2 linked regions of the Rattus norvegicus genome follow. Each later gene encodes a partner of the first gene's protein in a complex. Links are inferred from orthologs where the notes say so. Each region holds a gene or a part of one and is shown on either strand. Other genes may lie near its edges.

Region 1 (4,513 bases):
TCAGGCAAAGCTACCTGGTCAAGACAGAGCACAAAGGATGCCACACACACAAGAAAGGCACAGCAGAGAGGGTACGGCTGGCCAATAGTGCAGAAGCCTTCACTTAACATGCATTATGCACCCAAATGGGCCACACTTACGGATGGGCCAATGTGAAAGTGCACATGACGTATACTGCCAATGCGAGAAGTGTGCACCACTGCACAGCCTGAACACATTTCCTCTTTAAGGGCAGGGAGAGCCAGTCTATCCCCCAGTTTCTGCTGAGTCAATGCAGTGAACCCCTGGGCATGGTAGCTAAAGGCTCCTAACTCTGCATGTGAGAGGCTGAGGCTAAGGCAGAAGATTGAGCCAGCCTAGGCTAGAGAGTGAGCGCCAGGTTAGCCTGAGCTACAAAGTCCTCTTGGAGCTGAAGAGATGGCTCAGCAACTGCAAACAAGCCCTACACTGTAACTTGGATCCTGGGGACCGCGATGAGGACGGAGAGGACTGACTCCTATAAACTGTCCTCTGACATGGCACAGGCGCACCTGTGTGAGCACCAAACAGAAGCCTGCATTCTAAAAGACAATAGCGCCTCTCAAAACAAAAGGATTCAGAACACTTAGTACTAAAAAGTAGGAATGATAACCACCTGCTCCAAAAGGCCTCTAATAATTAGACAAAGGGACAAGTGGGGCAAGCTAGAGCAACATTCTGTAACTGGAAAAGAATCAGTGCTATAAATGCAGGCCAATGCAATTATTGGTTAGAGGTTAGCCGATTGGCCTGTGTTACTCACCACAAATCACTGAGGGACCGCACCTCCAGGGGGGTATCTGGACCACAGATGACCATAAGAGATCAAGGCCCACTTGTGTGAATTCAGCCGAGTCAGATCCTACCATTTGCTGAGCCTCGTTTCCTCACGAGAACAGGCTTCATCTTTTTGGTCCCACTCCTCCATATCTTCTCCTTGTCCCATGAACAACTGGGGTGCACTAGATTTTGGTCTTCTGGCACAATGGTTTACAGCTGGGTTTGCCCAACAGGAGGCACTAGCAGAAGCATGGGGGGTGGGGGGAGACAGTATCAGGTCTCAGGTGCTACCTCCATGAATTTAAGGCTTTCCAAGTAACATAAGGCTCCCTTCACCCCTTCAGACCTAAGATAGACACCGAGTCCTGCTGTGACTGGCTACGGGAACAAAACTTGCATCCCTGGTTCCCCTGCCCACATTTATAAACAGTGACTATTCATGCATCTTTGCTCAAATTACTCTAACTTGACTTTATCACCTACCCCTGCTAGCACACTGGATTGTAAAGGAGCTATCGCCAATGACAGATCAGGGACCATTTTACTGCTAGGGACCGGGCAACTACGGCAACTTCACTAGGCAGGTGTCATGGGTTATCATAATTATGATAATCCCATTTTACAGGAGCTGTTGCTCCTAATTTACATCAGAAGCTGTTAAGAAAACAAAAAACAAAAAACAACAACAACAACAACAACAAAAAAAAAACTTGAGGACACATGAGTAGAAGAGCTATTACACAATCCCAGAAGGATTCTGGCTCAGCGATGAGGACCACTGGTTGCTCTTCCAGAAAACCCAGGTTTGAGTCCCAGCAACCCCAGAGCGGCTGACAACAGTCTGGTAATTACAGGTCCTGGAGACCTGATGCTTTCTTCTGGTCTCAGCTCACACACTCATGCAGGCAAAACACTCATACACATAAGATAAGAGGGAGTTAGTGGCTCCTGCCTAGCAGGGACGACAGAGGGAGGCAGACCTCTGTGAGCTCCAGGCCAACCCGGTCTACATAACGACTTCCAAGTCAGCCAAAGCTACATACTGAAATCCTGCCTCAAACCCCGCCCCCACCAAAACAAAAAACAAAAAAACAAACAAAACAAAACAAAAAAAAAAAAAAAAAAACGGGCTTCAGATCAAAAGCCTCAACCTCTGCGCTTCTACTACAGTCGCGGTCTATTTTCCGTTCTACACCACATTTGACCATTATTACTATCCCTAAAGGAAAATAAGTTCTCCTCCGACTGTCAGACGGCTAAACCTTATCTGGTTAAGAGTGGCAGTCCCGGGCTGGAGAGATGGATCAGCAGGTAAAGTCGTTTGCCGCCACACCTGATGACCAGAGTTCAATCCCCGGAACCCACATGGTTATGAGACAACCGCGTCCGGGCATGCATACAAACACAAGTTTAAAAATACAAAAAGGATAAGAGCCCTGATTGGGTTCAGCCTGAAAAGATAAACACTTTCAGCTGAGTGTCACCTTGGGCAGGAGCCTCAGTTTCCCAGTGAAACCGGATTAACACTACTTCCCCAACCATGAAGAGGATCCAATGGAATACTTTACGGAAGTTCTGGGCACCCACTGAGCTCGGGAACCGGGGACCCACGGTGGCTGACAGCGCCCTGGAGACCTCAGCGGTCTCCATAACCACGGAGGACCGAGGGGGCGGGCCGGGCCTGGGGACCCGAGGGAAGAGAACCCGCCGCCCACCCCGGCCCACCTGCTCCTCCAGCCGCTCGATCTCCAACTGGTTCTTCTCCTCCTCCTCGTCGTACTCCCACTCGTCCTCCCCGGCGGAGCTCTCGGCGGAGGAAGCCATGGCGGCGTCCTCCTCATCCCCATCGCTCTCGCTCACACCTTCCTGGTGCACCTCCCGCTCAGGGCCCTTGGCTTTGGCTGTCTCCGCGCTGGACAGCACCTTCCTGCCCACACCCGCCGGCTTCGCCTCATCCTCCTCTCCCTCAGCCTCAGGCCGGGCCTGGGGCTCAACCTCCGGCTCGGACGCCGAGGATGCAGTCGCCGTCGCCATCTTGCGCAGCCCGCGATTCTCGGGTCCTCCCTCGCCCGCCGAAGCCCGGCGAACATTAGGCTGTCCGTGGCGTCTGCCTGACCAAAACTCCGCTCGGCGCCAGCGGAAGTGGCACGAAGGGCCTCAGGGCGGAGGAAGCCGTGAAGACTCCACCACTGATATTATCCTTAGGCGTCTCTGGACGCCACTGTCAGGAAGAAAGGCTCACTAGCATAACCTGCGTCGGGCTACGACCTTGGACAGCTTTTGGGTCTTGGGACCGGAAGTGGCAGCCATACCGGCAGTTGTGTGTGCGTGATGGCCATAGTTAAGGTCCAGACGCCATCTTAGGAAGGTCAAAGTCATTTTTTTTTTTTTTTTTTTTTTTTTTTTTTTTTGGACTAAAGGATTTCTGCAAGGCTCAGCCCGCTCCAGTGCGTTGTTGTTTCGCAGCAACCGGCCCTCAGGTGCGGACAAAATTCCAGTTCCTCCGCGATACAATGCACCATTCACGAGAAAAGCCTATCTCTCAGTATAAAGCTCCCTCCCCTTTCTAGCACCTAGTATCTAACAGGTGTTAGACGCATCGATTTTGTGACTATATAGCCAATGCTAACACATTACAGTAAGTATCGTCTCGGGATGCAGTGGATTGTAAAACAAACATGTACATGTCGAGGAGGTATGGTGTTTGTTTCTTTTATACTCCTCGTTGTTGAGGTAGAAAAAAAAAAAAAGAACACTGCTGTTTTCCTCTGCACTGCCTTTCTCCTTCATCAGCAAGGTTAACGAGACAGGAATTGCTTTCCTCGGGACTCCCAGGAATTTTTTTTTTTTAGTGACACCTAGTGTACACTTGACATGTTATTTGCTCCGTAGATGAAACGGCTGCCTTTGAATTAGAAAAAAAAAAGCCTGAACCTGAACAGAGACTCATGCAAGCTCGAATCCCAAATAAGCCTGAGTCTGAGCATCCTCGGGCAAGTCAGGCCCGGCTTCCCACTTCTGGGCGGCCCCACGCCCATCGCAGCACCAGACAAACGTGACCGCAGCTTCAGACCTTCCCGCTCTGCGCCGCGTCCACGCCCCTTCCGGAGGCGTGACCAAAGAGACCGGCCGAAACGCGTGCACGCGCTTGGAGCGGAGAGCGCAAGCGCCAAGCAGCGGTGACGTCATACAAGCGCGCCCTCCCTTCGGCGTCGCAGAGGTCGACGCAGGTGCAAGCCGGCAAGATGGCGGCGGCTGGAGCGGGCCGTCTGAGGCGGGCGGCGTCCGCGCTGCTGCTCCGGAGCCCGCGCCTGCCCGCCCGGGAGTTGTCGGCTCCTGCCAGGCTCTACCACAAGAAGGTATGGGCGGGCGAGGGGGTACGCGAACCATCGAGGGGACCTGCAGCTGTTGCACAGATAACCACCGAGGACCCCGCGGCCACCTCAGCCCCGCCGCGGCCGCTACTCCAAGTGTCCCAACTCTGACAGCCCAGAAGGGAGGGTCCTGGTATGTCGTGCCGGGGGTCAAGGGGCAGCACACATACATGCATGAGCACACGTTGCAGCACCGGCATGCTCACCAGCTAGGCCATTGCCCTGGCTAATTGGCCTTGAGCAAGTCACTGACCCTTGCCCAACCTTTCTCTTAGATCTCACATGGGTCTTCTGCAGTCCCTGTGTGTAGAGCGCTCGGTCCAACAAATGGAAACCACTTA
Region 2 (3,809 bases), on another chromosome or scaffold:
GTTTGAGCAACACACCTCCACTTACTGAATATTTCCTCAATGATAAGTACCAAGAAGAGCTGAATTTTGACAATCCCTTAGGAATGAGAGGTGAAATAGCTAAATCATATGCTGAACTCATCAAGCAGATGTGGTCTGGAAAGTTTAGCTATGTCACTCCAAGAGCATTTAAGGTTAGTATGGGAAACTTACTCTCAGCAAGTGTGCTTGTGTCCCCAAAGGATCAACAAACAACAAACTCCTCAGCTGAGGGGTGGGAGTCCCATCACAGGGTCTCCTGGCCTCCCAAAGACACACATGGCGTAGAGCAGGATGGTGATAGGATTTTTTATTTGGGTTCTGTTTTCTTATTGTCTAGAAATGGACTGGAGAGATACTGCTTAGAGGTTAAGAACAATTGCTACCCTCCCAGAGGACCTGGGTTGGGTTTCCAGTACCAACATCTGGTGGCTCAGAAAAGCCTCTGTAACTCAAACTGGAGTAAATAAGATGCCCCCTTCTGACCTCCATGGGCATTTGCTCTCGTGCACGTGCGCACGCACACACATGCAGTTACACTGATGTGGTTTAGAATTGTTTAGACTGCCTCTGGATACCCTCTGTGCATGTTTTAGGTGTTGTAAAGAGCTTCCTTTAGATATGCTATTAAGTCTAACTAATCTAGTTTATCCTTGTGGCCAGTTGTAGACTATAAAATAAATCAGAATGAAACTGATTTACAAAACAACCATCAAATGGTCACTGACTGTATTTTCAATCTGGTTCTCACGCGTGGGTGTTTGTATGTATGAGGTAGTTACTTAGATCTCACCTTTAGTGAGAAGGTGGTAACATTCCTAGAACATCTAAGAAATATTTGTTGATCATCTAGCTGTTCCTAAAATATGAATCGAACTGAAGAGATGGCTGTGTGGTTAAGAGCACTGGCCACTTTTCCCGGGGACCAGGGTTCAGTTCCCAGCACCTGCCTGGTGGCTACCTACCCACAGTCTGTAACTCCATTTCAAGCAGGTACTATATGCAAATGCTGAAAGGCAGTGCAGGCAAAACACCAGTTTTGATTCTTCTTCACAAGTTATTTTCCACTAAGTTATCACAAATTAAAAGAACAAATACAGAAGCACACTCCTGGGGAAGTGGCAGATTCGAGTCCACCAAGCCTCGGTCACATTGTCATCAATTACTGAATACATCCTCTGTCGCACGTGTGTCTGTTTGAAAACTCGGGATTTATTATATATGGTTGGCACATTAATACTGATTTTCACAGCCAACCCTATAACTCATTGCTTAACAAATGTATCTAATTGTATTTTCCCCATAGAGGACATGACTGCCTCTGTGTCTGTGAACCTAGACAACACCTTAGCACTCTGCTTGGGAACTGTTTGAGGCCCTAGCTAGTACCAAGCACTAAGTGAGAGAGAACACTCAGACAAGTACAAGACAATGCTGAAGCCAAAAGGCAGTATCACGTGCCTTCTTCCAGGAGGGGTGTGTGCACATCAGTAACAGTTTTACTGGAACATACGTTCAGATAGTTTAAAGTGTATCACAACTTTACTCAGAGCACAGAAGTAATTTATAATAAGTAAAAATGAGAACAATTGTGTGCTTTTTAAGGAAACCTGTCACTAGCTGATTTTGTGATTTTGCTTGTCTTACAGACACAAGTAGGACGTTTTGCACCTCAGTTCTCTGGATATCAACAGCAAGACTGCCAAGAACTACTAGCTTTCCTATTAGATGGATTACATGAGGATTTGAATAGAATTAGGAAAAAACCATATATCCAGTTAAAAGATGCTGATGGGAGGCCAGACAAGGTAAATGAATGAGCTTCATGGTATTATTTTCTTCATTGTTAAAATTTTCTAACACCTTTTAGTAACTGTTTATTTCCTTTGTAGGTGGTTGCTGAAGAAGCCTGGGAAAACCATTTAAAAAGAAATGATTCTATCATAGTAGATATATTTCATGGCCTTTTCAAGTCTACGTTAGTGTGTCCTGAGTGTGCTAAGATCTCAGTGACCTTCGACCCTTTCTGTTACTTGACACTTCCATTGCCTATGAAAAAGGAACGTAGCTTAGAAGTTTATTTAGTTAGAATGGATCCACTTGCTAAACCTATGCAAGTAAGTAATGATTTCTTTCTTTACATTTGTTATTTTTACTTCGTTTGTGATGGGACCATTTTAAAATTTGCTTTCTCCAGCACTATTCGATTATAAAATTTATTGGATAATAGATTTCATAAGATAAATACTCTGGAAGTTACACCTGTGTAGAATTATGTGAAGTTGAGGGATGTCATAGAAAAATAAATTTATCAAGTTTGCACACCAAAGACAACCAAGATGTTTGTTTTATAATTTGGAATGGATATCCGCTTAGAAAGATAAATAACAGTATTATTGTCTGTATTTTTTCTATCAAGAATTTTTAAATGTATTTATTTTATATGTATAGGTATTTTGCCAGTATATATCTCTGTACCACATGTGTTTTTGGATCCCCTAGGCCTCGGTATTGGATGATTGTGTGCTCTCATGTGGGTGCACAGAATGGATCCTGGCTCTAAAGGAGGAGCAGCCAGTGCTCTTAACCACTGAGCTGTCTCCTAGCACTCCTCTAGTCAAATTCATTATGTTGTAGGTTTTTCCTGGTCACTTTTAGAAGTAAAGCTACTATTGTATTTTATTTAATATATTTATTATTGTCTATGAATGTGTCTACTATGTATTTATTATTGTATTTTCTAACTCATCATATGATCATGCATAAGTAGAAGTAATCTTCAGGCATTTTAAAATTGTTGATGAGAAATAAAAAACTGGTATAAAAATACTGGTTCAGAAAAAAAAAAAAAAATACTGGTTCAGGGCCACCGGGATTCCTCAGTGAGGTGAAGGCAGTTGCTGCCAAGCCTGATAGACCTGCGTTCAATCCCTAACACTCACTTGGTGGCAGGAGAGAACCTGGTCCCACAATTACATTCTGACTCCCACACTCATGATGTGACATGTACATAGACACAGTAAAACTTTAATAATAAAAATACTTGTTCAGTTGCTGTTCTAGTCTTTCAGACTTTAAAGTATCATGCTGTGCTTATTCTATGCAAACTCTCTGTGGCACACATTAATGTCAGTTGGTGGCCTGGTTCCTTTTCTGTGTGCTATCCCTGGGTTCCTCGGTGCTTTGTGAGGAAATGCTACATTTTCTGTTTTTAAATCAGTTATTCACATTTGACCCTGTTCTGGTGACAGCTCCCCCTTTGCTCCTCTAAACTCTGTTGCAGTACCTCAAAGATTTTGGTTTCCCCTTATCTTCCTTTCTCACCTACCCAGGGCTTTGTAGGCAGGGAGCATGTATTTCCAGTGCTGTGACTTGTAAATATTAATGCAGAAGTATATCCAGATGTGTGTTACTCACTTGGTGCTTTTTTCCTCAGACAAAGCAGATTCCTAGATTATTTTCTTAGGGTCTGGCCAAATATCTCAGATTTGTAGATACAGAGTAGAAGTGAAGTCTGTGAAAGGTACCCTGTGAACAAAACCACCTTTACTTCCTCTTAGCAAGAAGAGTGTCTGTGCACTGTTCTTAAAGCAGCTAAACAGCTCCTTCATGGAGAGTGATGCCAAGCTCCAGGCCAGCCCGAGTCTGTGTTCAGTGTCACAGTGTTGGGAATCTAAGGAGGTAGTCAGTGGTCCTTAAGCTTGTGTAGTCAGGCTGATGAGAAACTGCTTAGTTCCATTTGAGCTCCAGGGGATGAGGACAGTGATGGGGGAATGCATTAAGGTCTGTTT

What was found.
Region 2: the proteins of Sart3 (region 1) and Usp15 are in contact, whole or in part, in a crystal structure (PDB 5JJW), measured with the Homo sapiens proteins. The link is inferred for Rattus norvegicus from reciprocal best matches to the Homo sapiens genes SART3 and USP15. Residues at the interface, in NP_055521.1 of Homo sapiens: Ser438, Ser439, Lys440, Glu443, Gln490, Arg493, Glu494, Trp496, Asp497, Met500, Thr501, Ala505, Trp511, Tyr514, Arg533, Cys537; in NP_001239007.1 of Homo sapiens: Ser23, Leu24, Asp48, Trp50, Gly121, Met122, Phe123, Val124, Lys125, His126, Lys128.

The regions. Positions count from the first base shown.
Region 1 is NC_086030.1:48,518,186-48,522,698, reverse strand, and holds the start of Sart3 (squamous cell carcinoma antigen recognized by T-cells 3), read right to left. Parts: upstream 2,847-4,513; 5' UTR 2,833-2,846; coding exon 2,524-2,832; intron 1,038-2,523; exon of another isoform or gene 782-1,037; intron 1-781. Other genes in the region: iron-sulfur cluster assembly enzyme ISCU, read left to right, coding at 4,044-4,157. UniProt on the Homo sapiens protein: U6 snRNP-binding protein that functions as a recycling factor of the splicing machinery. Promotes the initial reassembly of U4 and U6 snRNPs following their ejection from the spliceosome during its maturation.
Region 2 is NC_086025.1:60,658,666-60,662,474, reverse strand, and holds part of Usp15 (ubiquitin carboxyl-terminal hydrolase 15), read left to right. Parts: coding exon 1-173; intron 174-1,667; coding exon 1,668-1,826; intron 1,827-1,910; coding exon 1,911-2,135; intron 2,136-3,809. UniProt on the Homo sapiens protein: Hydrolase that removes conjugated ubiquitin from target proteins and regulates various pathways such as the TGF-beta receptor signaling, NF-kappa-B and RNF41/NRDP1-PRKN pathways.